Linked DNA regions of Ovis aries. The protein of the gene in region 1 purifies or fractionates together with the protein of each later gene. This does not show direct contact. Links are inferred from orthologs where the notes say so. Each region holds a gene or a part of one and is shown in the gene's direction. Other genes may lie near its edges.

Evidence for each region.
Region 2: the proteins of EIF3B (region 1) and EIF3D purify together in Homo sapiens (affinity purification with mass spectrometry; 10 studies listed by BioGRID and IntAct, with this or other methods). This does not show direct contact. The link is inferred for Ovis aries from reciprocal best matches to the Homo sapiens genes EIF3B and EIF3D.
Region 3: the proteins of EIF3B (region 1) and EIF3K purify together in Homo sapiens (affinity purification with mass spectrometry; 7 studies listed by BioGRID and IntAct, with this or other methods). This does not show direct contact. The link is inferred for Ovis aries from reciprocal best matches to the Homo sapiens genes EIF3B and EIF3K.
Region 4: the proteins of EIF3B (region 1) and EIF3G purify together in Homo sapiens (affinity purification with mass spectrometry; 12 studies listed by BioGRID and IntAct, counting the BioPlex papers as one, with this or other methods). This does not show direct contact. The link is inferred for Ovis aries from reciprocal best matches to the Homo sapiens genes EIF3B and EIF3G.
Region 5: the proteins of EIF3B (region 1) and MTOR purify together in Homo sapiens (affinity purification with western blotting; 3 studies listed by BioGRID and IntAct, with this or other methods). This does not show direct contact. The link is inferred for Ovis aries from reciprocal best matches to the Homo sapiens genes EIF3B and MTOR.
Region 6: the proteins of EIF3B (region 1) and EIF3I purify together in Homo sapiens (affinity purification with mass spectrometry; 12 studies listed by BioGRID and IntAct, counting the BioPlex papers as one, with this or other methods). This does not show direct contact. The link is inferred for Ovis aries from reciprocal best matches to the Homo sapiens genes EIF3B and EIF3I.
Region 7: the proteins of EIF3B (region 1) and EIF5 fractionate together in Homo sapiens (co-fractionation; 3 studies listed by BioGRID and IntAct, with this or other methods). This does not show direct contact. The link is inferred for Ovis aries from reciprocal best matches to the Homo sapiens genes EIF3B and EIF5.

What each region holds. Positions count from the first base shown.
Region 1 is NC_056077.1:41,264,714-41,268,213, reverse strand, and holds part of EIF3B (eukaryotic translation initiation factor 3 subunit B), read left to right. Parts: intron 1-557; coding exon 558-630; intron 631-1,379; coding exon 1,380-1,502; intron 1,503-2,345; coding exon 2,346-2,424; intron 2,425-3,068; coding exon 3,069-3,207; intron 3,208-3,500.
Region 2 is NC_056056.1:180,582,333-180,586,603, reverse strand, and holds the start of EIF3D (eukaryotic translation initiation factor 3 subunit D), read left to right. Parts: upstream 1-1,471; 5' UTR 1,472-1,597; intron 1,598-4,108; 5' UTR 4,109-4,118; coding exon 4,119-4,241; intron 4,242-4,271. UniProt on the Homo sapiens protein: mRNA cap-binding component of the eukaryotic translation initiation factor 3 (eIF-3) complex, a complex required for several steps in the initiation of protein synthesis of a specialized repertoire of mRNAs.
Region 3 is NC_056067.1:47,756,294-47,760,398, forward strand, and holds the start of EIF3K (eukaryotic translation initiation factor 3 subunit K), read left to right. Parts: upstream 1-1,305; 5' UTR 1,306-1,379; coding exon 1,380-1,438; intron 1,439-2,335; coding exon 2,336-2,434; intron 2,435-4,105. Other genes in the region: MAP4K1 (mitogen-activated protein kinase kinase kinase kinase 1), read right to left, coding at 1-56. UniProt on the Homo sapiens protein: Component of the eukaryotic translation initiation factor 3 (eIF-3) complex, which is required for several steps in the initiation of protein synthesis.
Region 4 is NC_056058.1:12,527,644-12,531,674, reverse strand, and holds the start of EIF3G (eukaryotic translation initiation factor 3 subunit G), read left to right. Parts: upstream 1-1,231; 5' UTR 1,232-1,281; coding exon 1,282-1,301; intron 1,302-1,449; coding exon 1,450-1,496; intron 1,497-2,091; coding exon 2,092-2,175; intron 2,176-2,283; coding exon 2,284-2,372; intron 2,373-2,516; coding exon 2,517-2,576; intron 2,577-3,744; coding exon 3,745-3,849; intron 3,850-3,953; coding exon 3,954-4,031. UniProt on the Homo sapiens protein: RNA-binding component of the eukaryotic translation initiation factor 3 (eIF-3) complex, which is required for several steps in the initiation of protein synthesis.
Region 5 is NC_056065.1:41,653,575-41,657,732, forward strand, and holds the start of MTOR (serine/threonine-protein kinase mTOR), read left to right. Parts: upstream 1-1,358; 5' UTR 1,359-1,454; intron 1,455-3,523; 5' UTR 3,524-3,564; coding exon 3,565-3,726; intron 3,727-4,158. UniProt on the Homo sapiens protein: Serine/threonine protein kinase which is a central regulator of cellular metabolism, growth and survival in response to hormones, growth factors, nutrients, energy and stress signals.
Region 6 is NC_056055.1:235,308,604-235,312,713, reverse strand, and holds the start of EIF3I (eukaryotic translation initiation factor 3 subunit I), read left to right. Parts: upstream 1-1,310; 5' UTR 1,311-1,347; coding exon 1,348-1,350; intron 1,351-1,443; coding exon 1,444-1,536; intron 1,537-2,770; coding exon 2,771-2,858; intron 2,859-3,160; coding exon 3,161-3,226; intron 3,227-4,110. Other genes in the region: TMEM234 (transmembrane protein 234), read right to left, coding at 779-930, 1,212-1,227. UniProt on the Homo sapiens protein: Component of the eukaryotic translation initiation factor 3 (eIF-3) complex, which is required for several steps in the initiation of protein synthesis.
Region 7 is NC_056071.1:65,730,199-65,733,253, forward strand, and holds part of EIF5 (eukaryotic translation initiation factor 5), read left to right. Parts: intron 1-483; exon of another isoform or gene 484-610; intron 611-979; coding exon 980-1,122; intron 1,123-1,384; coding exon 1,385-1,543; intron 1,544-2,010; coding exon 2,011-2,172; intron 2,173-2,433; coding exon 2,434-2,598; intron 2,599-2,895; coding exon 2,896-3,030; intron 3,031-3,055.

The sequences.
Region 1 (3,500 bases):
GCAGCCTTCCGTGTCTGGCCTCCTCCCCTGAGCGCGGGGTGCAGGCCCGTCCAGGTGGCGCCCTGAGCTCGTCCCTCATCGTTTCCACGGCTGAGCCTGTTTACTGTGTTATATCGTGTTTGCCCATTTATCCTTTGGTGGGCATGTGGGTTGTTTCCACCTTTTGGCTATCACGGATAATGCAGCTTTTTACATGAACATAGCTGTTCCACTGTTTTGAAATAATAGTTGGATCAGTCCCAGCTGGTGGGCCTTCGGGACACTACAGAAGGTTTGCAGAGAGGTCACAATATGGATCCTTGGGCCCGTCTGCTGGAGGTGACCTCAGGGCAGGTCTAGGGTCTGGGCTGGGGCCGAGGGACCGCTGCTTCTCCGGACACTGTGCCCGTCTCCGCCTTCATCAGCGTTTGAGAGCTCGTCTCACCACTTCAGTCACTGCCAGTTTTCACGTCTCTAACAGGCGTATACGTTTAATCTTTCATTAACTTAAGTTGTCCTTTGAGTCTTCCTCATGCTTGGTTTTCAGAATGCCACCCCTTCTTTTTTCTTTTAAACAGGGTGTTGTCACAAATTTTGAAATTTTCCGGATGAGAGAAAAACAGGTGCCTGTTGACGTGGTCGAGATGAAAGGCAAGTGCCTCCGTCCTGTCCTGAGGTTGAGTAGCTGCCGAGCTGTCACGCCTACTCGTAGCGCTTCCCTGCGAGTTCACAGCCAGGCAGGCTGGCTGAGGCCAGGCGTCTCTGTGTTACAGAGCCTACGTCGGGTCACGGTTTCTCTGTCCTTCCCAGCTTCAGTCTCTTAGCCTTTCCAGTTGCCAGGTGAAGAGACGCCCCCTTTTTTTCATTCACACCATGTGATCTGCTTACATAGCAGAGGGACACAGGTTCGAGCCTGGTTTCACGCTTAGAGAGTGTGAAGAGCAGGTTTTCATCATACACCCAGCAACGCAGCTAAGAGCTTGTCCTCTTACATAGGAAGGTTCTCAGTTGAGTAGCGGTATTTTGGGTTTTTGGACTCCTAAAAACTGGAGACGCTGTCTCTGCCTTTAGGTGGAACGTTTGGCGTGTATATCCTGTTTTGCTGGGGAGAGGAGGAAGGGAAGGGAAGGTGCTGCCTGGGAGAGGGCATGACCCCTGTGTGCCGTGCGGAGAGTGAGGGGCACATCCACAGGCCGGCCCGCCCGTGGCAGGAGCCTGGGGTAAAGTGGGGCCCGCCCGCCGGCCACGGCGGCTCCGCAGGGCTCAGCGTGCTGTCTTTGTGCCCGTGCTGCTTGTGGGCCTTTCAATGAACCTGAGAATCTGGGGCATCTCTTGTTGAGCAGCCTTAACGGAAAATGACGTTCTGTGACCAAGGAGCTCGCCCTCTCTTCTGGCCCTAGAAACCATCATTGCCTTCGCTTGGGAGCCGAACGGAAGTAAGTTTGCTGTGCTGCACGGGGAGGCGCCCCGGATATCCGCCTCCTTCTACCACGTGAAGAGCAACGGGAAGATCGAGCTCATCAGTAAGCGGCCGAGTGGGAGCCCAGGGGCAGAGCTCGGTTACTGCTCCTGGGAGAGTGCTTGGCTGGACAGAGCGTCCTGTGGGCAGCTGGTGGTGGGCGAGGGAGTTTGCTGCAAAGGACGGGCCTTCTGTGCACTCCCGAGCGGCGGTGTGTGTGACATCGTCATTCTGTGATGTCGCCAACTGGCTGTCACAAAACTGAGTGTATTATTACTTCCCTTTGTCATGAAAGGACATTTGGACAGCTGAAGAGTCATGGCCTCCTGTTGTAAAGTAGGTTATGATGCAGCAAGCGTACAAGTGCCTCTGCTTTCCAGGCACCCCGCAACCCTGCCTCCCCTTGCAGGGTCAGCCTGCAGGCCACCACAGTGCTGGGGACTGCTCAGGATCCTTTCCATCCTGCCCGTCCCTATCAGGGCGGTGCTGCCCCCCTCCCCACCCTGCCCCTCCCTCCTGAGTAAAGAGATGAGGGCCAGGCCCCACCCCTTCAGGAGTGAGCATTGGGTTGGCATTGGGAGAGATGGTGGAATTAGCTTCTTTCAGTTAAAAAGTGAGTCGCTAGAATGGATTTCTAGGCTGTTGGGGTCACGTATCTCTGAGAATCTGGGGGAAACTGGACTCCTTGCCCTGGTGGTGCGTCCCCACGGTGACACTGCCTGCGTGGGGTGTTTTGTCTGATTGCACCGTCAAGTGCAGTGCTAGCGTTACTTAACGCAGCACCGCAGTTTCAGAACCCCTCCAGGCCCCCAAACTACGAGGCGCGGCGCCTCACAGAGTCCCGTGTGCACACCCGCGGGGTGGCCCTGTCTCGGCTGCACGCTGACCTCTGACCCTCTCCTTCCAGAGATGTTCGACAAGCAGCAGGCCAACACCATCTTCTGGAGCCCCCAGGGGCAGTTCGTCGTGCTGGCTGGCCTGCGGAGGTGGGTTCCGCTGATGCCCTGTGCGGGGCTGGGGGAGACCGTGACCCCGGCTCTGGCCCCGAAGGTTGCTCTGCCGCCTCCCTGCGAGTGCGGGGCAGGTGCTCCCAAGGGCGTCCCGGCCTGGGTGGATCGTGCGGTGTCTCCATCCTGCTGCCCAGACGTGGCCAGGACCAGGCCCCTTGCAGACGCTTCCACCGGGGACTTCGGAACGCAGGACCTCCTCCTGGTGGCCCAGTCCCCCGGTGTAAATGCCGCGCGTCCGTGTGGGAAGGGGGTTTGGTCAGGCTGGGAGCCCGTCTTGCCCTCTGCTGGGTGTGCCCACGAGCCTCTGGGCGTTCACCCCCTTGCTCCCCACCTGGCTGTGCAGCAGGCTGTGCAGAGCCTGGACAGGGGTGCGGGGCCTCCTCTGGGCTGGCGGGGCTCCCCGCCTCACTGTGGGTGCCTCGCGCTGGGGTTTGGCAGCTCAGCCTCTGCCAGCCTCTCCTCTGGGAGCCTGTGTTCCCTGTGCGTCATCTGTGTCCCTGTGGGCATTGCCACGTCCACGATCAGGCGGGACAGTGGGCTCCCGAGCGCAAGCCTGCTCGCCCGAGCTGGGGGCGGCACAGACGCGGCTCTCGGTGACGCCAGCCGCGCTGTCTCCCCAGCATGAACGGCGCCCTGGCGTTTGTCGACACCTCGGACTGCACGGTCATGAACATCGCTGAGCACTACATGGCCTCCGACGTGGAGTGGGACCCCACTGGGCGCTACGTCGTCACCTCCGTGTCCTGGTGGAGCCACAAGGTGCGGGGGTCCCGAGCGCCCTGCCTGCTCTGCCTCAGGGCCTCGCCCTCACCCCAGGACTGCAGTTCTGGGTGGTGGGGCTTCCGGCCGTTCCGGGGTCCCCAGCCTGGTCCCTCTGTCCCTCCCCGGTGTTCGCATGGGCCCCCACTCCACAGCGTGACACGCCTTCATTGTCGTTAGCCATTCGCTGTCCTCTCTTCCTGCTGGCTTGAGCCGTTAGGAGGACGGGCCGTTTCTCCCGAGCCACATCCCCAGCATCTGAAACTGCTGGCACATTGTCAGCCTTCAGTCAG
Region 2 (4,271 bases), on another chromosome or scaffold:
CCGGGAGAAATATCAATAACCTCAGATATGCAGATGACACCACTCTTATGGCAGAAAGTGAAGAGGAACTCAAAAGCCTCTTGATGAAAGTGAAAGAGGAGAGTGAAAAACTTGGCTTAAAGCTCAACATTCAGAAAACAAAGATCATGGCATCTGGTCTCATCACTTCATAGCAAACAGATGGGCAAACAGTGGAAACAGTGTCAGACTTTATTTTGGGGGGCTCCTAAATCACTGCAGATGGTGACTGCAGCCATGAAATTAAAAGACGCTTACTCCTTGGAAAGGAAGTTATGACCAACCTAGATAGCATATTCAAAAGCAGAGACATTACTTTGCCAACAAAGGTCCGCCTAGTCAAGGCTATGGTTTTCCAGTGGTCATGTATGGATGTGAGAGTTGGACTGTGAAGAAAGCTGAGCATCGAAGAACTGATGCTTTTGAACTGTGGTGTTGGAGAAGATTCTTGAGAGCCCCTTGGACTGTAAGGAGATCCAACCAGTCCATTCTGAAAGAGATCAGTCCTGGGTGTTCTTTGGAAGGAATGATGCTAAAGCTGAAACTCCAGTACTTTGGCCACTTCATGCGAAGTTGACTCATTGGAAAAGACTCTGATGCTGGGGAGGGATTGGGGGCAGGAGGAGAAGGGGACGACAGAGGATGAGATGGCTGGATGGCATCACCTACTTGAAGGACGTGAGTTTGAGTGAACTCCGGGAGTTGGTGATGGACAGGGAGGCCTGGCGTGCTGCAGGACAAACTCCGTAGGCTGAGTTTCCAAAAAGACAGCACCGTTGCCATCGTAGCCAGGTGGTTCCTGAGTCGCCACTTCAGAATCACCACCAATTAAAATGCAGGTTTCTGGGCTCCAGCTAAGCCACGCTTGTATAACAGTCTATGGAAGGGGACCCGGAATCTTCATTTTTCAAATTAGCTCTCCAGGAATCTTTGTCAAACAAGAAAGTCTGAGAACTGTGGAGGTATGGTTTGAACACTGGCAGCGACCTCCGACACTAGTAGTCTGATCTACTCAGGTCACTTTGCACCTCCTGGTCTGTTTCCGAAAGCGCTCAAAGCTCAGCGAGTAGCCGCAAAAACCTGCCTGAAAGACTCGAACTCCCCCTAACGGTGAAACTCAAACAACACGATCTTTTAAAGAAGGCAGAAGCCGCGGGTCGTTGTGGGATACAGAGGGCCAGAGCGGCCCGCAAGGCATTGTGGGACATAGAGGGGCTTTCAGCCAGTCGCCGCTTCCAACTCCAACTACAAGGCCGCCACGTTTCAAGAAACTTGAAACTCTCGGAGTGTCGCCGGATGCCCCATGACGTAACTGTAAACATCCTCGAAGGCTAAATAAGAACACCGCGAAGAGAACAGGGACGAACTTCCGGATGTGCCTTCGCTTTACGACTCGCGTGTTCCGCCGTCGAACCGGAAGGAAGCCAAGAAGCAGTTTACGACACCGTCGGTCGTATTTACGGTGCCGGCCGCTGCGCGCGCATGTTTCCTCCTTTCCCGGTTCCCCGTAGCTCAGGCGGTGGCGCGGTATTCGGCCTAGACTATCTCTCACCATCGGGGCCGGTTACGGCCGTTACAGGTAAGCAGCGTATTCCGTACGCTTCCGCGGATCTCCAGAGCAGAGTTGAGCTGCGCCTGGCCTTCGGGGGCCTGCCGGAAGAGACTTCCGTACGCCCCCTCCTGCTTCCCTGTACCTCCGCTGGGAGGGGCAGGAATCCGCCTTCGGTCCCCCCAGGTCCGACCCAGTGCGGGGCAGAGCCTGTGGTTGAGGTCTCTTTCCGTGGAGTCCGCTTAGCGGCCACCGACAGTGTGTTCTGATGTGAACATGTCATTAACCCCGCTGAGTCTCAGGGTCTTTTAAAGTGCCCCACGGTTCCCTGAGCTTCTACGAGAGGGCTATTGGGTGTGCCAAACTGAGCGATGTTCGGCCCTGCTCTGAGGAGTTCACCGTCTAAATGTTTCTTTTCCTTGCCTATGAAATGGAAGGCTAGGATGTAGTTGGTTGATCTCTGATTTGACATTAACCGCCCAGGAATTGGCAAACGATCTGCAGTAACCTGCCAGCCACAAGGTTCTCCCTATGACTGTCCTGTTGATGCCGCCCCATCCTTTATCTGTAGCCAGTACAGCTGTCACTCCGTTTCAACTGAAAGATTTAGTTTCCCCTGTTGGTTACATTGTACTCTGCCTACTTTTTAGTTTACGCGTTGAAACCAAGCGACTTCCTTCCGCCCCTTTTAAAGTGTGTTTGGAGATATCTCACTGTGTTATTGATATGATCTGAAACCCAGGATCTTTTCAGGCTGCTGTCCAGCTGTAAAATAATGGGAAGAGTGTTACACTTAAGACAGAGGACCCTAGAAACCAAGTCTATCTTGAAATGATGAGATCAGCTGCTTGATTTGGCTGAACTGTGTATTTTTTTTTTAATCTGAAATTGGGGCCTAGGGGTTTAGTGGTGTTGCATCTGACATGTTGTAGGACCCTGGTAATATATAAGGGTATATTGTTTTGAGACCACCACACTCTCCCTCAGTCCGCTTCCTGTAGTGTAATTTAAGTTTAGGTAGGAGGATGGGGCTTCCAGGTTCATGCCCTTTTGGATCACGCAAGTGTCACCTCTAGGAACTCTCCCCATCATGGGAAAATGAAGAGAGTTTCATAAATTTAGTATTCTTTGCTCTTTGATTGATACAACTGAGCGACTTCACTTTCACTTTTCACTTTCATGCACTGGAGAAAGAAATGGCAACCCACTCCAGTGTTCTTGCCTGGAGAATCTCAGGGACAGGGGAGCCTGGTGGGCTGCCATCTATGAGGTCGCACAGAGTCAGACATGACTGAAGTGACTTAGCAGCAGCAGCTCTTTGATTGCTCCCCAGACTCTGGAAATATTTGTGTGGTGAATTTTCCCCTGGGAACTCAGCTTCTGGGCATTTTCAGGGGATTAGAATGGATGATAAATGCATGCATGAGTTTTGGGGAGGAATTGTTTGGCAGATATCTGTCGAGCCCCTGGTTTTTACTCTTCCTGAGCGGAGTACTGGCCTTACACAAAGTGTGGACTCTGAAGCCAGTTTCCCAGGGTTCAGATTTTCATCCATTAGTGTTGCAACTTTGGGCGATTTCTTGATATCTCTGTGCCTCAGTTTTCTTCTCTGGAAAGTGGGGCTAATACTGGCCCTACCTCGGGAGGAGATTGTTGAGGAGTTAATGAATTAATGTGTGGAAAGCGCTAACAACATGCCTGGTACTCATAATGTTTATGAACATTGGCTGTGTTCGGCCACTTTCATGACATAAGGCTTCTGGCTTCCTCAACCTTCTGCTGGGCTTTCTGCCTGACTTCTATGCCCTGCATAAGAATTTACACTGACAACAGAAAATTGAAAGAACAACAAAGGAAGGTTGCATTTCAGGATACATTCATGGACCCTTGTTTTTTCTCGGCACTGTGTGTAAATGTATTTTTGTAAGACAGAATAGTAAGTGTCTGGCGTTTTACAATGGAACTATTTCTGCTTATGTTAACTAATATATACAGCTTTCACAGTGATCCTCTGATGGGAATAAAACAAGGATCTTATTATTTTTCAGGTAAAGAGACTGAGGTTTAGGGGAATTAAATATTGTATGTCTGGTAAAGGTGTGAATGAAAACTGGAACCTGGTTATTAAACTCAAAAAAAAGTTAATTACATTTCATCAAGTCTGTAAGACATCACTGAATTCAAGAAGCACAATATCTTCATGTAACACTAAGAAAGAAAAGTTGCCAGATACGGTATGACACCTCATCAGTTAGAAGGTGCAGGTTCATGTCAGAGATAGTACAGTGGGAAAAAACAAATGGTGAGATATGATACATAAATTTGGTGAGCAGTCGTCTGAGTTTTAAGTATTCACAGTCTTATTCACAAGAAGATGGTAAGTGGAGAGTAGCTCAGCAGTTGAGGGTTCTGTTCTGTGTTTTGCTTTTTTAACTTTATCCTGTATTAGCTTACCTCAAATGGAAGACTTCGGGTTTTTTTGTTTGTTTGTTTTTTAGAGGCTTTTCTTCATGGAGTTACTTTGTTATTTGTATTTTTAAGGTTTTAAAAGATGGCAAAGTTCATGACACCCGTGATCCAGGACAACCCCTCAGGCTGGGGTCCCTGTGCAGTTCCGGAGCAGTTTCGGGATATGCCCTACCAGCCGTTCAGCAAAGGAGATCGGCTCGGAAAGGTGCCTGCCTGTCAGCGGGGTCTGAATCTT
Region 3 (4,105 bases), on another chromosome or scaffold:
AGGTCATAGTGGTCCCGGGGGTCCCTGTTAAAGATGTCAGGGTCTACGAGGTCCATTCCTGGGGGCCGGAGCTGGGCCTGCGCCCAGGGGCCAGCAGGGCCTCAGGGCTCCGAATGCTGGCACCTCCCTCCCTCCCCACACGCCCTGCACCCGCCTTGCCTCCACCGGCTGTGGCCTCCCCCCTCCCCACTCTCGCTTCCTGCCCCGGCACAGAGCTGTGCAGCCAGCGGCTCCACCCCCTGTCCCCTGGGCCCTGACAGCCTGTGAGGGGCAGCTTGCCTTGGGACCCAGGGGACTCCCCCCTCCACCTCCGGGGCCCTGGGCTGCATGTAAACCAGATGCAAACTATCTTCATTGTGACCTGGAGGGTGCCCTCACCCTCCCCCGTTATGGGCAGTGGCTAAAAACATTTGAACCTCTGCTGAACGCTGAGTGTTGGGCCACAACCTGGAGATGGCAGGTCTACACCGGGATGACCATGTAGTGTATGTACATCATTGTTCACCCGGGACACATACAGGCACTTAGTGGTAACTCCCCGTGCGGCGCGCAGGCCAGTCGCCGTGCACACTCCTGGATACCCGTGTGCACGTATGTGGATATACCCAGAGCATATACACATATGACACATGCATGTTCAGTCATGCTTGCAGTGGGCAGTATCTGAACACACAACTAGGGATGCCACATGCGGAGCGCTCGCCTTCACCCACAGAACTGGAGCTATGGGGACTGGGCGTGATCTAGCGGGGTCCACGAGCCCCTCTCTCCGCCCCTGCCGAGCTGAGCACAACAGCTTTGCGGGCCACTACCCTCGGCGTTAGGGTGAAGTGTGGGGGACCAGGTTCACGACTTAAAACTGCGAAGCTCAGGATCCTTCCTCAGAGGCCAAGGGGACCTCAGAGGGCACCTTCTTCGGCACATGCCCATGGACCAAAAGGATTGTACTGATGGAACCCCAGCAGTTTTGAGTTCACAGCCCGTGCACGCCGTCACGGATCAGTCTACTTCCCGCTAAGTCCGCGCTCACGCGCCAGGGTCTATAACTGGATACGCGAGGCCCGGGAAAAGCTTAGTCCCGCCCCCTCGCCGCGAGAAGGCGCCTGCGCACTTGGTTAGACTAGGTCTTTTCTCGCGCCGTAGCTTCTGCTCGAGTAGAGCGTATGCGCACGCGCTAACTGCGCCGGCTGGGAAGAAGTCACGCGGCAGCCGGAAAGCGTGGCAGCCGCAGCTAGACCCAAAGCACGATTCACCGCGGGGCTGGAGAGAAAACAATTACGTAGTTTCCGTTTCCACCAACTCTTCCTCTTCCGGTCCTCGAGGACGCTTTGCCGGCAGGGTCTTCGGCCTTAGGCCTGGTGTGGGAGGCGGCAGCAGTCATGGCGATGTTTGAGCAGATGAGAGCGAACGTGGGCAAGTTGCTCAAGGGGATCGACAGGTCTGAGCCCGGTCGGAGGGAGCGTTTCTGGCCAGCGTGGAGGAGAGGGTTTTCTGGGGTCAGCAAGAGGTGGTCAGCATCCTGGGCTTGCCCAGGGGTGGGATTTTTCAGTCAGTCTGGAGCAGTTGTTTAAGAAAACAGCATTGTATAGGCCTAAAGGCAAGAGGTGGCCTTGCCTGCCGCTCAGTCCGCTTTAATTGCCTTAAGGCCGCCCTCTCTGCTTAACTTATTCTCTCTCAGCCCCTCTGTTTTCTCTCTGCTCCTCAGTCTCACTGAGCCTCTCAGTGCCTCTTCGTGGCTCCCCTTCCCCCCCTAATTTCATTCATCGAACACATGTTTACTGAAATCTACACTGTGAATTCTGGGCAATGGTGCGGACCAGAGATAACCAAAGACAGCCACTGGCCATGCTTTCATGGAGTTTCTAGTTCAGATAAACCGGACGGTAGACAGTGATAGCCAGGAGTGGTCAAGGTGGTGATGGGGGAAACATAGGTAGATTGGTGGGGGCTAGGATGGGGAAAACTAGGCAGGAGAGAATGGGCTGCACCAGAGTGGGGTTTGGGGATGGGAGAAAGGGGTGGATATCAAAGATGTCCAGGAGGGCAGATGTACAGGCTGCAAGGGCTGGTTGGCTGAGAGATTGAAAAGACATTTTTCAGAAAAGACCCAGGGCTCTGATGGGGTTTAGAGCTGGGGCTTAGGTCAGGGATATGGATAAGTTTCATCAGAGATTATAGAGCTGATTCAATATTTGAGTAGAGCAAGTGGCCAGTGACGGAGGGAGGGAGGAAAGGAAGAGAAGGAGGAGCAGGCTACAGTCGCCCCCACTCCTACCCCATGGGAGTGACTGGCCTCAGCTCTTGTCTCTGCTCACTCATCTTGTTTCTCCTCTAGGTACAACCCTGAGAACCTGGCCACCCTGGAGCGCTATGTGGAGACACAGGCCAAGGAAAATGCCTATGATCTGGAAGCCAACCTGGCTGTCCTGAAACTGTGAGTATCTGCCTCCATTCCCACCCGGTTCCCATAGTCAGCAGCCTGCCACTCCCAGCACTGGGTGGGGTGGGAGTGAGGGGTAACCTCCAGGATGTGACTTCTCTCTCTTTTTTAAAAATTGGAATCTAGTTGATTTACAATGTTATATTAGTTTTAGATGTACAACATAGTGTTTGGGTATTTTTATAGGTTATACTCCGTTTAGAGTTCTTATATAATGGGGGTCATAGCCCCTGTGCTGTTCATTGTGACTTTGTATCTTATTTCATATATATTTCGTACCCCTTAATCCCCTTCCATTATCTCACCTCTCCCCCACCCCATTCCCATCTATAACCACTAGTTTGCTTCTCTGTTTCTGTTTTGTTGCTTTCATTTTATTCTTTAGATTCTACATATAAGCGAAAACATGTGGTATTTGCCTTTCCCTGTCTGACTTAACTTCACTAAGCGTAATATTCTCCAGGTCCATCCATGTTGTTGAAAGGGCAAATTTTCATTCTTTTTCCTTTTTTTTTTTTTAATGGCTGAATAATATTCCATTGTGTGTATGTGTTTCTATGTACCACATCTTCTTTATCCATTCATTTGTCAGTGGACACTTAGGTTGCTTCCAGATCTTGGCTACTGAAAATAATGCTCCTGAGAACACTGGGGTGCCTGTATCACTTCAAATTAGTGTTTGTTTTCTTTACTTATATTTATATACACACACATACCCAGGAGTGGAATTGCTGGATCATGTGGTAGTCCTAGATTTGATTTTACAGGGAACCTCCCTACTGTTTTCCACGGTGGCTGTGCCAATTGACATGACACTATCAAGCGTTCTCTCCTCCACATCCTTGCCGGTGTTTTGTTATTTGTTGTCTTCTTGTTGATAGCCATTTTGTCAAGTGTGTGATTCTGATTTGCATTTTCCTGATGTTTAGTGATGTTGAGCATCTTCTCAATTGCCTGTTGGCGATCTCTGTCTTCTTTTAAAAAAAAAGCGTCTATTCAGAAGTTTCTGACAGGGTTTTGCGGGATTTTTGGTATTGAATTGTATGACCTCTTTATCTGTTTTGGATAGAATGTGCAAGACTAGGGAGCCAGGAAGTAGGGGCAGGAGGAGGGATGGTTTTTGAAAACTTAGTTACAGGGGCTGCACTCCAGCAGTTAAGATTCCAGCCTTCCACTGCAGGGGACACGAGTTAGATCCCTGGCTGGGGAACTAAGCTCCCGCAGGCCTTGCTGTGCAACCAAAAAGTAAAAAAAAAAATAAATAAAAATCATAACAAAGCGCACATACAGGCTGCTGCAGAAAGCAAGTATATGGTTTAACGTGGAGTTATAAATGGACACCTATGTAATCAGCAGCCCAACTGCAAAATGGGTGTTGCTAGCACCCTGTCCTTTGCCCCATGTGTTTTGTGCCAACCACGCTGACCTGATGACCCTGGTGACCACTCCTGTGCTCTCGTGGCCTGGCTTTGTGTGAATTTACCACACGCTTGCAGGCGCATGTACACACATACACATCCTGATTCGCTTAGCGCAGGTTTGCCTGCTTTGAACTGAACATAAGAGTAGCTGCACGACTGGAGCTCTTCTGCGTCTGGCAGCTTGCACTCAGCCCTGGGTTTGTGAGCTCCACGCTTCTCCTGTGTGGCCGCAGTTGGTTGTCAT
Region 4 (4,031 bases), on another chromosome or scaffold:
TTGGTCAGGGAACTAGTTCCCACGTGCCACAACTAAGACTCTATGCAGCCAAATAAATAAAAATAAATATTTTTAAAAATGTTATATATGTTATATATATATACATGTATATATATGTAATATATATATAAGAGACTATGATCTTTAGTCTAGTTTTTAAAGTCCTTTATAATCTGGTTCCTGTCGGTTCCAAATACCCATGAATTGAGCACTTATCAAGTGTAGACACCCTGAGGGTGCTGGGGACCCAGAAGTGAACAAAGCAGGCAAATGTGTTTCTGCAGAAGTCTGCAGCAGTTTTTACCATTTTTTTCATTATCATCCCTCTAAAGGAGAAAAATGGAATTATCTTCCATTTAAATCAGTGTTAATCTAATTACATTTAATTTCTCCCTAACAATAGAAATTAAATGTTTAGAAATAAGATTTTGTCTGGGAGGGTTGGCTTTGGAGGCCACAAGTCATTGTCATCTCCAAGTTGGTTTTTTTTTTGTTTGTTTCTTTTTTGCCACAGAACAATTAATTTTGGTCCCCTTGGGAGTCATATCACTCCCACTGAGAATGCATACAGTAGAGGGAACGCTGGACAATAAGCAATAAATTAAAGAAAATGGAAAAGATTATATCAGGGAGCCAAGAATGTTACTAGGAATTCCCCGGTGGTCCAGTGGTTAAGACTCTGCACTTCCACTGCAGCGCCCAGTTCTGATACCTGGTTAGGGAATTAAGATTCTGCAAGCCTCACAGTGCGGGGGGGGGAGTTACTCAAGGAGGGAGAATAGTTAGGGGGTGACTTGATATCTTGATCATTTGAATCAGAAAAGTTATTTCCAGGCAAGGAAGACCAGTTTTGGTTTCTTCAGCTGAAAAATGGAAACGATAATTTCCTCCTCACAGTTCCTGCAAACAGTCAGAGCTATATAATTGAGCTTTATTGTCATTATTTTTAATTTTTAAAAAAAGTAAAAGAAAAGGTCCGGTGGTTAAGATTCAGTGATCCCAATGCAGGCCCTCCTGGTCCAGGAACTAGATCCTACATGCCGCAACTAAGACCCAGCGCAGCCAAATAAATAAATAAATAAATAAGATTTTCAGGTAAATGAGCCGAGCCTCTAATAGTAAGATACCAGGGCCCAGCCTCTCACATAGGCGGCGCTTCTACCTCCGTCCGTAGGGGGCGCTGTGGAGTGCTACGGCTGCTCTAGGCAGCGGAGCCGGAAGTCTCTTTCACCTCTTACTTCCGGTCTTTGGCCCAGGCTTGGGCTGCGTGGAGATTTTGCGATGCCGACCGGAGACTTTGAGTGAGTCAGGGGTCGTGGAGGGGGTTTGGTAAGCAGACCGGGGATGGGGGGCGGTCCTAGGAGTTAATATAGAGCCTGGGTGCGTTGAGGCCGCGGGAGCTGGGCCTCGCCTCACTCATCCCTCCTTTTGACAAACTTGTCCCCGCAGTTCGAAGCCCAGTTGGGCGGACCAGGTGGAAGAGGAAGGAGAGGACGGTGAGTCTACCTTGTCGCCTCGGATCACCGCAGCCCGGCCTCCCCCCGCCGCCCCAGGCCGTCACTGCTGCCTGCTCTGATCCTCCACCCTGGCACCGCCGTCAGACCCTGCATCTCCCCTCACAGCCAGCCCCTGCCCCGCGCCACTCTCATCTGGGCCAGCCTATCTCCAACTCCATACGTTCACCAGCCAGCCCATCTTCTGCCGTGCCACCGCCCAAGTCCTTGATGCCAGCACTTCTGCTTCCCTGCTCCTGGCAGGAAATTGTTTAACAGCCACACTCCTGCCTTTGTATTAATACTATTGCCCGGATGCCTGTGGCCCTCCCCTTCCCTCAGGCCCTCAGGCCCTCAGGCCCTCAGGCCAAGGATCCCCTTCCCCTTCTCATTGCTGGAAGTTACTACCGGCCAGCTCCGTGTCCCTGAATGGCTATCCCAAGACACTTCCTGGCCAGTCCTCTGCCCTTGGTCCCACCTTTCTCAGCTCCTGGTGCAGGCATCATCCCAAAGGTCCCTTGATTTCAGCTTGGGAGTTCCTGTCGCTGCCCACCCCTACCCCCCAGCTGACCCCTGCTCCCTCCACTCCCTGTCACAGACAAATGTGTCACCAGCGAGCTCCTCAAGGGGATCCCCCTGGCCACTGGGGATACCAGTCCAGAGCCTGAGCTATTGCCGGGAGGTGAGTGCCCGACTTCACTCCAGCCCTGGGCCGTCTCTCTCCCCAGCCTCCTTCCTTCTGGTCCCTATTACCCAGGGCTCAGTTCCTTTGTCTCTTCCTCTCTCCCAGCTCCACTGCCACCTCCCAAGGAGGTCATCAATGGAAACATCAAAACAGTGACGGAGTATAAGATAGATGAGGATGGCAAGAAGTTCAAGGTGAGGCTGGGGAAGAGGTGGGAGCCCTTTGCTTGAGGGGCACTTGGACTAGGGAGAGAGTGGTGTGTTGGATGTCTTGATGAGGAAGATCTGCTAGGAACCTTGAGGAGCAGAAGGCCCAAACGTTTCCCCTCCTATCCACAGATCGTCCGCACCTTCAGAATTGAGACCCGGAAGGCCTCAAAGGCTGTGGCAAGGAGGAAGGTAAGACCCTTCTCCCCCTTCCTTGGGGGCTCCTCCAGGGCTGACTCAAAGAAAAAATAGGAGTTCTTTTCCCTATTGCCTTCATTTTTAGAAGTGGGGTTTAACTGTTTGTTAAACAATTTCCTGGTGGCTTCCCTGGTGGCTCAGTGGTAAAGAATCTTCCTGCAATGCAGGAGATGCTGGTTCATCCCTGGGTCAGGACGGTACCCTGGAGAAGGGGATGATTACCCACTCCAGTGTTCTTGCCTGGAGAATTCCATGGACAGAGGAGCCTGGTGGGCTATAGTCCATAGGGTCGCAAAAAGTTAGACATGATTGAGAGACTGATGCTTTTTTGTTTCTTTCTAATTGTTTGGTTGCACCACACAGCATGTGGGATCTTAGTTCCCCGAGCAAGGCTTGAAACCACACCTTGTGCATTGAGAGTGCGGAGTCTTAACCACTGGGCCACCGGGGAAGTCCCCTGGGTGTACCTCTTCTGTTGGAGCAGAACTGAGGCCTGTGTGCAGTCCGTGGGGGCCCTGAAAAGTCCAGCAGGTGCAGGAGTGGGAGCGGAGGGGTTGGTTCTTACTTCTCTCGGCTTGTCGCCTGGGAGGAACAGAGCCAAAGCCCTCCTGTGAGGTGGTCGTAGCAGCAGAAGTGATGGCAGTAAATACGTTTTGCACAGTTACCTACATACTCGGTGTTAGACTCAGGTGCTTCGTGGGAAGTATTTTCTCATTCATTCCCCTAGCATTCCAGGGAGGTGTGGGGAGCATTGTGGTCCCTTATAGGGGAGGATGCCAAGGTACAGGTTGTTTAAGGAGCTCAAGGCCCCTGGAAATCTGGGTGATCCTGCACACCCCTGAGTATCACTCGGTGGAAGCTGGTCAGCCCCTGCCAGGGGTTGTTGGCTCTGGACCTGTTTACCCCTGAGCCTCAGTTTTCTCATCTGTAACATGAGGCTGAGAGCTGCCCCTACTCTTGGAGCTGGCATGGAGCTGGGGCCTGGCATGCCCTCAGGGAATAGCAACTGTCATCATCGCTTCTCCAAGGAGCATTTGAGGGCGGTGAATAGGGTTCAAGACTCACTCACCCTCAAGGTGGCTCTTGTTAAGTCTAGGGTGCAAATGGAGGGGGTCCCACTTGTCCTTGCCCTGACCTGTCCCCCATCCTGCCTTGAGCTCAGAACTGGAAGAAGTTTGGGAACTCAGAATTTGACCCACCGGGGCCCAACGTAGCCACCACCACAGTCAGCGATGATGTATCCATGACATTCATCACCAGCAAAGAGGTAAGTGTGGTGGCTGGCAGGGGGAGCCAGTGGCCAGGGTGTTACTGGAGGCAGCAGGGGAGCAGCTGAACTACCGTCTGAACTGCCACCACCTGCCCTGCCAGGATCTGAACTGCCAGGAAGAGGAGGACCCAATGAACAAGCTCAAGGGCCAGAAGATAGTGTCCTGCCGAATCTGCAAG
Region 5 (4,158 bases), on another chromosome or scaffold:
AAGATCATGGCATCCGGTCCCATCACTTCATGGCAAATAGATGGGGAAACAGTGGAAACAGTGACTGACTTTATTTTTCTGGGCTCCAAAATCACTGTAGATGGTGATTGCAGCAATGAAATTAAAAGATGCTTACTCCTTGGCAGGAAAGTTATGACCAACGTAGACAGCATATTAAAAAGCAGAGACATTACTTTGCCAGCAAAGGTCCATCTAGTCAAGGCTATGGTTTTCCAGTGGTCATGTATGGATGTGAGAGTTGGACTATAAAGAAAGCTGAGCCCCGAAGAATTGATGCTTTTGAACTATGGTGTTGGACAAGACTGAGAGTCCCTTGGACCGCAAGGAGATCCAAACAGTCCATCCTAAAGGACATCAGTCCTGGGTGTTCATTGGAAGGACTGGTGTTGAAGCTGAAACTCCAATATTTTGGCCACCTGATGCGAAGAGCTGACTCATTGGGAAAGACCCTGATGCTGGGAAAGATTGAAGGCAGGAGGAGAAGGGGACGACAGAGGATGAGATGGTTGGATGGCATCATTGACTCAATGAACACGGGTTTGGGCGGACTCCAGGATTTGGTGACGGACAGGGAGGTCTGGCGTGCTGGGATCGCAAAGAGTCGGACATGACTAAGCGACTGGACTGAACCGAACTGTGAGATATTTAAACTTTTTCAATGTTTTTTAAATAATGGACGGTGATTTTTAAAAAATGAGACGTAGTCAAATTCTATTTCTGCTATTGATTTTCGAAAGGATTTTTTTTTTTTAATGATACAGCTTCGAAATTATTTAGTCACAAGTAGCTCATTTAGTTCAAATTTGCCTATTGTTTCTGGTGAATGATCTTGGGAGCTAGATAATATCGGGAAAGTGGGGGAAATATAACTAAAAATGCTTTTAAATGCGAATTACATTTCACAGAAGAAAAATCATGGATACACTAGCGCTAGTGTGCCGGTTTCGCTCACACAGCGCTCTCGAAAACTAAATCTGGGGTCGCGAACCTCCGCCTAATCCTTTGTGGTCCCATCCCACCGTACCCAGACAGCGAAATGGGCACCGCCAAGGGCCAGGTGCAGTGGGGAACTTTAGTAACGACGCACCGGATGTGTGCGTGGAAGTGACTGAAGTCAACTCACGAATGATTGGTTCTCCTGAGAGGACCTAAGCCTCCTTTCTCCTGCCACTGGCCACGGGGTTTGTCTATTTGAACAGTCCCCGCCCCCTGGAGAAGCCGGTCCCGAAGCCTCACTTCTCCTAAATGATTATTGGCCTGTATTCCTGTCTATCTTCTTCTTATGGCCGTCGATTGGTCGTCAGGGCTAGGAGTACGCCCTCCCTCCCGCCCGGCTTAGAGGACAGCGGGGAAGGCGGGTGGTGGGGACCGGGCCCTGAAGCGGCGGTACCGGCGCTGGCGGCGGCAGCTGAGGCCTTGGCCGAAGCCGCGCGGTGAGTCTGGGGCCTGGCACCGACCCCTCCAAGGCGGTGGAATGTCCAGACCCACGGCTAGCCTGGTCCGTGGGGGCACCCCGGGAAGCCGTCCATCTGGGACTTGGGGTCCCCTCAGTACTGGCCCCACGGAGTTGGGCGCCGCCGGAGCCCTTGACCCTCACTCCGCGAGGCTACGCCCACTTCCTCCCGGACCTCCAGGAAACCCCCGGACCCTTTAGCCTAGCGTGTGTTTCTGGCGCCAGAAGGCCGGCCCATCAGCTCCTGTATTGCTGGGGCGCCTCTGGGTCTCTGCCCGTCTGTCAACCTTTCTTCTGAGCCACCTACACATTGTCCTCGGAGAGGACCAACGTCAGTGTCAGCCCCTTGCGCTTCACTGTGGATGCCTCTCAGGGACCCATTTCCCGGAGCTGAGCTCGGTTCCACCCTGAGTTTCATCCTCTCTGCTTCCCCCGCCACCATCCCTAGTTTGGGCACCTGGCTTCAACTTCTGAAAGCCCTCGCCAAGACCCTTCGTATATTTAACTTCTAGTATTTTCATTGAATTCTGCCTGGAGCAGATAGCCTTTGGGCCTTAGACCTTATGAAGGTAGGCTGATTCCTTCCTGAGACTGGAAATTCCTTGCTTGCCTACCCCCCCCCCCCCCCCCCATCACTGCCAAGTGCACACTCTCTGTAGTAGTTTTCTCCTCTGGAATTCTTGGGTTTCCTCAGCCCTAAAGTCTGACACTTCTTTCTGCAGTCGTCTTCTTGATGCTGGAGAATTTAAAAGCTTTTCAGAATCAATTATTACTGTTTTTTACCCTTCTGGATTTCACAAATTCTTTCAAAATAAGAAATTTTGAAAATTTTATTTTCTATTATAACGTGGACATGCCCAGGATAGGTGTATATGTTACTGCCATGGCAGTCTGGGCCGAGCTTTATCATAGCCACTGCATTATGGTCACTTGATTATTTGTGTTTCCCCCTAGATTGTAAGCTTATTGAGGGAAGGAACAGTACATAATTCAGGAATAAATGAGTGATCTCAGGAACAAATCAGTCTGTCTTAGCTCACGTTCCAGCTACGTTCCATAGGGCAGAGACTTCCCTGACAGTCCAGTGGTGACGACTCCTTGCTTCTAATGCAGTGGGCACAGGTTCAAACCCTGGTTGGGGAAGTGAGATCCCACATGCTGCAGGGCAGGACCACAAAATAAGAACAGAAAATAATAAAAAATTTAAAAAATACAGAACTGTGCTGCCCAATACAATAACCATCAGCCACATGAGGCTTTAGAGTGCTTGAAATGTGACTAGTCCAAGTTGAAATTGACCTAATTATAAAATGCACACTCGATTTTGGTGACTTGGTACAGAAAAAAAGAATGAAAAAAATGTCAATAATTTTTTGTATTGATAACATGTTGAAATGATATTTAGGATATATTGGGATTAAATGTGTTCATTTTTCTTGTTTCTTTTTATGTTTTCCATATGGCTACTAGGAAATTCAAAGTTACGTTTGTGATTCATATTGCTTTTGGGCAGTGCTGCTATAGAATAATAAACAGTGCCCCTCTTTAAATTTTCCTCAAGGAAAGGGGCAGTCTTAGGCATGCTTATTTTCCCTCTGTCTCCCCACTCTAGTACCTGACTGTGCCATGTATGTAGTAGTCATAATGATAATCATAGCTAGTAACTATTAACTCACTGTGTGCCTGGCACTGTTTTAATCATTTTTTAACATGGGTTAACTCACTTAATCCTCACGTCAACCTTATGAGTTAGGTACTATTATCCTCTTATTACAGTTAGGGAAACTGTTAAGTATCTTCCTCAAGGTATATAATTTTGGACTGAATTCACACTCAGGTAAGTCTGGCAGCACAGCCCATCATTTGACCTATGCTACTGTGCTGCCTCTTTTAAACATCAGTCATCGTTGAATGGCTCAAGGCTCTTTGCATGTTTTTCAGTGAGGTCTCCCAACCTTGTTTGGCTCCCCAGCTTGACTTGGGTGTATGAAGATCTGTGTTGAGGAGCTGGGACCATATATAAGTTCATTGCCATGGTTTGTTATTCAGAATATTAAAGGAAGCATCTCTCCAAAGAACCTCAGGGCAAGATGCTTGGAACCGGCCCTGCCGCCGCCACCACAGCTGCCACCACATCCAGCAACGTGAGCGTCCTGCAGCAGTTTGCCAGCGGCCTAAAGAGCCGGAATGAAGAGACCAGGGCCAAAGCTGCCAAGGAGCTGCAGCACTACGTCACCATGGAGCTCCGAGAGGTTCGGACTGTTGTCATTGGGCCATTCATCATGGAGTGTTGGGGCTACCTGTACCATCCCTGGGTTAAATGCCTCTTGACAGCTAAGTGAGAATTCAGAAAATGTAAAGATTCCATTTCAGAAAGGCGCCCAGTTTCTCCTGTCCATAGAATGTGCGGATTCCTTTGCAGCAGTTACACATTTCTGTGGCATTTCCTGTGGTGTGGTATTTTAAGAGTCAGCATAGAGATGGCTGTTTCTTTTCTTTTTTTTTCTGTTTCATGCCACATTCCAGACCTTCCACTCTTTCTACCTGATAATAGTGGTTGGCATGGCTTTGAGGAGTTGGTTGCTTGAGGCTTTCTAAACAGTGACCAGACTTGAGGTCAGGGACAATGTCTTGTTTGTCCTTATACCTCTGGTACTAGGTAGAATCTAGGACGGTGGGTGGCC
Region 6 (4,110 bases), on another chromosome or scaffold:
TGCTTATCTGAGCAGGGCTGCCTTCTTTGAGCTTTGAGATAAGCCTTTCCTTGGAGGGAGGGGTAGCTGTAAGGGCTAGGGCCCAAGCCATCTGAAAAGGACCCTTCCAGGGCAGAGGGAACATCACTGACTGAACCCCATGCCTTTGCCCTGAATGCCCTCCCCCTCAGCCCGGCTGGTTTCTGTCCTCCCCATCCTGCAAGTCCCTGAGCGCCAGTGTTCCTCTCTCCAAGAAACCTTCCCTCAGTCGCCTAGCTCCAGCCTCCCTCCTCTGAACTCACAAAGCACTTTGTCTGTACCTCACTCAAAGCCCTTACCCCTGAGAGGCAGTTGTGTCTATGACTTTCCCACCAGCCGAGACTGGCAGCACTGAGCTCAGAAGTAGTACTCTAGATTCTCCCTTATGCCCCCCTCCCCAGGGCCAATTTAAGCCCTAAGCCCTCCCTCTGGAAAAGTCTGTTGGAAGGATCACCATAATAAAATATTACTAGCTGCTCAGGGCATCAGAGACTTGAAACCTAATTATAATATGTATAAGGCCCACTGCTAACTGCTTTAGTGCCTCACCTCACTTAACCCTCACAACTGCCCCGTAAGACGGTTACCCTTATTATCCCCATTTTACAGATGACGAAACTGAGACTCAAGGCAAACAAGACTCATCCAAGAGCTTCTGGCGAGTAAGTGGTGGAGCACAGATTTTGAGCCTGATCTGTTTGACTCCAGAGACCAAATTCTTAGCTGCTACCCTCTAGAGAGGACTCATTCACAGACGCACCTCGGGATTCAAGAACAAGGTTTTCATTTCCTGCAGCAACTGCCGGGCCCAGGTCCGCTCATGAACCTGCTGCAGGCGAGAGGAGGCCCGCTTCAGCAATGGCTGTGTGCCACCCCACAGAGCGGCCACTAGCACCAGAGCCAGCACCTGCCCTGGATGGAGAGACGAGTGACATCCCCCGCCGCCCCACCGCACGGCCTTAGCCCTCCTCCGGTCTCCCATTCCCACCCCGCCGCTCCCACATCCCTTCTTTGCTCTCCGACGCCCCGGGTCTGATTGGCGGGTAGGACAGGCCCCGGGAAGCCGGGGAGATGGATCCTGGAGCCCAAGTTCGGGGTTGTAGCAAGGGTCGGGGTTAGGTGGTGGAGGAGGGAGTAAGAAATGAACTTGGGATAGCAGTCTGGAAGCGAGGGGAGGGGCGGGGCCCGCTTACCCAGGGTCGCCGCCATGGCAACGCCGATCCTCTCCACTTCCGGGAACAAAGGGGGCGGAGACTCGTAATCCGGAAGTGGCGCCAAAGCCTCTTCCGGTTCTACTCACGTTGCCGCTTTCCTCGCGTCACCGCCGGAATGGTGAGTTCTCCTGTGTTAAAGGTATTGCCGTAGGGGTCCGTGCTGGGGTAGGGGCCAATTCTGGGCGCTGACACTGCCGTCCTGTCCCCACAGAAGCCGATCCTGCTGCAGGGCCATGAGCGGTCCATTACTCAGATTAAGTACAACCGCGAGGGAGACCTCCTTTTCACGGTGGCGAAGGACCCTGTGAGCGTCGGCCGAAGGGCGGGCCCGCCGGGACCTTGCGGAGGGGGCTCGGGAGCGGGCGCGTTCATTCTCCCGGGGCGAAGGGTGGACAAGCTAGTTTTGCTGCGAGAAAAACCGAGGAGTGCCCCGTTCTGAGAAGTAGGGAGAGATCAGCCCGGGGTTTGGAGGGCAAGAGCATTACACCGATAGATGTGGGAAAGGACTCCATTGTTGATAGGAGGGAGTAGCCAGGGAGAAGAAAAGCAAGGGTACCTTGTGGAAAGGGGACGGGGACGTGGGTCATCTTGCTCATGGGGCGGAGAGGAGCTCATTCCGGGGAAGAACAAAACTATTCTACAAGGATAGGGGAACAGACCACCTGGAGAAGGGGGAAGTTGATCCTGGGGCGGCGAGGATAAAGACCTTAAAGAAGGTGTCCTTGGTATCATTTCAGTCATCCCTCTTCCTGCCACTCACTCACTGCAAACAGCCCCTTTGAGTACTGCATTTTGAGGCACCTCCATATGGAGAAAGTTAACCCTAGTGGCTAAACGTGGGGGCTGACACACCTGATTTGAATCCTGAGTCCTGTATTCACTAGCAGTGTGACTTTGAACATGCCATTTAACCATTATAAACTTTAAGAGCCCCTTTTTACAAAATATGGGTAGTAATAGTACCTCCCTCTTGGGGTTGTCTTTAGAATTAAATGAGATTATTCAAATAAAGAGCTTACTTGAATAAAGAGTGTTTGTGAGTACCATATTAATGTTAGACACATTTTAAATTCCTTAGACATTATTTTATTGGAGTCTCACAGCTACTCTTTGAAAAAGGCGTTATTGTCCTGGCCAGTTTACACGTGGGAAAACTGAAGTTCAGAGGGGAAAAGCACACATTTCAATAATACAGTGAGATAGTAGCAGAGCAGGGACTGGAACCTAGGTTTCTCTCCTACCAACGGCTCCTGTTTGGACAGAACACCAAAACACTACTCTTTTGCTAGGCTGATACTCAGCTTGACCTTTTATTCCTCAAAGGGTTTAGGAGTCTGGGGAAAGGCTGGTATGATGGAGACTTTTTCGCAAGCAGGAGGAGAATCCAGGAGTTGGTCTTTTTACCAGCAACCTGCTGTTCCCCAAGAGATGAGCTGGGGAGGGTCGAATCTGGCCTGGCTAGAAGCTTCTGGGGCAAAATAGGCCATGGCTCTGCCCACAATGCCTATCATCCTGTCACATTGTCCTTGATCCTCCAGATTGTCAATGTATGGTACTCTGTGAATGGTGAGAGACTGGGCACCTACATGGGCCATACCGGAGCTGTGTGGTGTGTGGACGCTGACTGTATCCTTATCTTTGTTCTGAGTCTGTGCTACCAGGGTCTGCCAGCAATGGAGAAGCTGCTGACCTGAAGCTGAGAGTTTGAGATGCTCTGGTGGGGTCTGGAGAATGATGCTACCTACCTCCTACTCCTTGGTCTGTTCACTATTTCGGGGAACATTTAGGACAGGTTCCAGTTCTGAATGAGGAGGTTAGGATGAGAGAAGGAAGGCTCTCTGGTGCTGAATAGGGAGATGATTCACTTGGCCTTCCAAGAGGACAAGGACTCAGGTGAATTCTGTTATGCTTCTTAACACCCTCTTCAGGGGACACCAAGCATGTCCTCACTGGCTCAGCTGACAACAGCTGTCGTCTCTGGGACTGTGAAACAGGTAAGCCTGGATCCTGCACTTTTTCAGCAAACAGTGAGGACCTACAATATACTTATTGAGGTCAACAGGTTCTGGGGAAATAGAGATAAAACCAGAGATGGTTCCCAGTCTAGGGAAAAAGAGACAAGAAAATCAGGAGACAGAGATGAAAAGAGGCACTCCAGTGAGATATAAGCCTTGTTAGAGGTAGCACAGTGCACTATGAAAGCTGAGGGGGAGGCACCTGAAGCCTGAAATGGGGATGGGATCAGCCCGGGAAGGCTTCCCAAAGCAAGTGTCATGTGAGGCGATAGCTGTGGCAGATGCAAGAGTGGAAGCACAGCAAGTGGCACGTCCAAGTCATCTGATCTGGCAGGAGCTCCTGCTTCTCGGGGGTGAAACAGACAGCAGTGGAGAAGCTGAGGCAGGCTAGGGCCAGACGGGCCTTGAATGTGAGCTCAGGAACATGACTGTTCTGTAGGACTTCATGCTGGGGAGGGTCCTGAGCAGGGAAGAGCCTGTTCAATTCTTTTTTTTTTTTTTAATTTTTGGCCACACCCTGTGGCAACTGGGATCTTAGTTCCCTGACCAGGGATTGAACCCACACCCCCTGCATTGGAAGGCAGAGTCTTAACCACTGCTGGGGAAGTCCCCAAGCATGTTTAGCTTTGGCAAGCCCAGGTAGCAGTGGGGAACATTGCAGGAACAGACAGAAGACAGGGGAGCCTATTGAACGGCTCCATTTAGGAAATATTTTCTGGGTACCCAGATCTCTCCCAGGTCTTTGCTGGGCACTGGTGACATGCAGAGAAGTTAGAGCAGGTCTTTGCTATGGAGAAGCACATTCTCCAGAGGTGGAGACAGATACAATGTCGTCCGTTGTGAGTGCCACAGTGGCGGGATGT
Region 7 (3,055 bases), on another chromosome or scaffold:
TGAAAACAGTGGAAGTGTCTTTACCGCTATATAGAATAAGGTTAATCCTTGAACACCTGTGCAGGTGAAAGTTTGCTTATAATAAGGTCAGCCCTGTGTATACAAGGATCAACCAACCAACAGTGAATAGTGTAGTACTGTAGTATGTAATTATTGGGGGGTGGGGAACTCCATGTAAATGGATCGGTGTGGTTTCAGCTTAACATTCAAAAGTCAGCTGTTTGATGAACCTGCTGTTGTATGTACTATTAAAGGTCAAGTACAGGCTACCATTAAACTCAACCATATCCTCAATTTTTAAGACGTTTTAGGATGTATGAAATATTGGACAAATTGTGATGGGGTCATAGTAAAGATCTACTTCTGGAATTGTTCAGTTGCTAAGTTGAGTCGGACTCTTTGCAACCCCATGGATTGCTTCTGGAATACTCATTTGTACATGAGGGCCTTGGCTCAGTAGGCCAGAGTGGCTTTAGAGCATGCAAGCAACACTCTGTGGCAGATAAATCAAAATTGTCTGACACAATTTGAGCTTGCTATAGCAAAAAAGTCTAACCTATTCCGGTGTTCTCTTTTCTGTGAGACTAGCCGTTACATAGACTTGAACACAGTTCTAGTTTTTGGCTGAAGCATAGTTGAGAATACCCTTGTTGATCAGTTTATGAGGAGTGGAAAGAGAGGGTCATGAGTGCCAACTTTCAAGTACTTGTGTGGTCTGTTTTTCATTGTTGAGTTGCTACATGGCATCCAACTCTTAATTTTACTAAAACAGCTAATACCTCTGATATTTACTGGCTTTTCTTTCTTAGACTCAGTTGCCTACCTATGAAACATAGTGGATGAATTTGATTTATGAACCCTTTTAGAATTATAGGTAGCATTTTCTGTGGCTTTCTGAGGGCAGGGTTTTAAATGTTAATGGTGGGCAATGAGGTATAATATAACTCATGGTACTCAACTTTCCTTTTTATCCGTGTAGAGAATAGTGACAGTAGCACAGGAAAAAAAGAAAAGGAAAAGAAAAATAGAAAGGGCAAAGACAAGGAAAATGGCTCCGTTTCCACCAGTGAGACACCACCACCACCACCACCACATGAGATCAGCCCTCCTCCACATGCTGTGGTGAGTGCGAGGCTCGAGGGGGGCGGTGGGCACTAACATTGTGTGAAATGTGACCTTTGGTTGAGGTGTGCAGAAACAAACTGCTTTTCTGTGAACAGCGTACCAGTACGTTGGGTTCCAGATGCTTATTGGTTGATTAGAAGTAAATAGAAATTTAGTGAGAAAATGATAATTTCACTAGAAATCTGGATTTTTTTTTTTTTTTTTTTTTTTTTACACCTTTAAGGTCTCTTTGGCCAAGCATTTTTGTTATTAAAAACAGGAAGAAGAAGAGGATGACGACTGGGGGGAGGATACAACAGAGGAAGCTCAAAGGCGTAGAATGGATGAGATCAGTGACCATGCAAAGGTTTTAACCCTCAGCGATGATTTGGAAAGGACTATTGAAGAGCGAGTCAATATCCTGTTTGATTTTGTGAAGGTAAAAACATTGTGTTGATCAGTAAGTCAGCTTCTACCCAGTCTTGAGGTTTTACTAGATATTTATTACCTTAAGCTGTTTGTTCAAAAATTTTTTGAGGGTGGTTCCAGGCAGTTTTTGGCAAGTGTGTATTTAGAAGTTCTAGAATCTTAAGTAAGGGAAAGGTTCATCAGAGTAGTGACTATGGTGCTGTGCTTAGTCACTCAGTCGTGTGCAGCTCTTTTGCGACCCCATGGACTGCAGCCTTCCAGACTCTGGAATTGTCCAGTCCTGAGTGGGTAACCGTTTGCTTCTCTAGGGGATCTTCCCAACCCAGGGATCAAACCCATGTCCTCCTGCATTGCAGGCAGATTATCTTTAGTATCAGAGCTACCAGGGAAGCCCCAGGGACAGTGCAAAATACGCGTCTGTCTCACTGAATTGCTTCTTTTGGTTTTTTTTTTAAACTTGCTTCCTTTTATTTGCAGAAAAAGAAAGAAGAAGGTATTATTGACTCATCTGACAAAGAGATTGTAGCTGAAGCAGAAAGACTGGATGTAAAAGCCATGGGCCCTCTTGTTTTGACTGAAGTTCTTTTTAATGAGAAGATTAGAGAACAAATTAAGAAATACAGGCGCCATTTCTTACGAGTAAGCGAATTGTTCTGTGTTCATAGTGAGATTTGCAGATGTGTGACTTTGGAAACACCATTTCAACCTCCTGTTTGTTCTGTCATCCTGAAAAAATGGAAATAACTGACCTACCTTAACAAGCATGAGAGTATCTGGAAAATGCTACATGTGGTCCTGTATATGTGAAGTAAATTAGAAATCTTTAAGCATTGACTCCTTACTGTTATAGGGCTGTCGCATCTAAGAAAGCTTGTTAACACCAAGAATATCTATTTGCAGTTTTGTCACAACAACAAAAAAGCTCAGCGGTACCTTCTTCATGGTTTGGAGTGTGTGGTAGCAATGCATCAATCTCAGCTCATTTCCAAGATTCCACATATCTTGAAGGAGATGTATGATGCAGACCTTTTGGAGGAAGAGGTCATCATTAGCTGGTCGGAAAAGGTGGGGAATATATTGATAAGCTCTTAAAGATTAGGATTGGGGCTTTTTTGGAAAAAGTTTTCTAACACCTAGTCTCTACTTGCTTGACTGGTATAACCTGTAGGGTGATCCCCACCATGGTAGCTTCTAGTAATGACCAAAGAAAATCTTTTGCTCTTTGCTGAATACGTTTAATCTGTTGAGAGTTTGAGATTAATATGTATTCCAGTCTCCTCAAAGGATGGGTATAGACAATTATGTATAACTCAAGTTACTGTTAAGTTGTTTGAACTAAAAGTTTTACTAAACGTTTTTTAGACCTCTAAGAAATATGTCTCAAAGGAACTTGCCAAAGAGATTCGTGTTAAAGCGGAACCTTTTATAAAATGGTTGAAGGAAGCAGAGGAAGAATCTTCTGGTGGTGAAGATGATGATGAAGATGAGAATATTGAGGTAAACATTGGGGAAATTGTTAAAT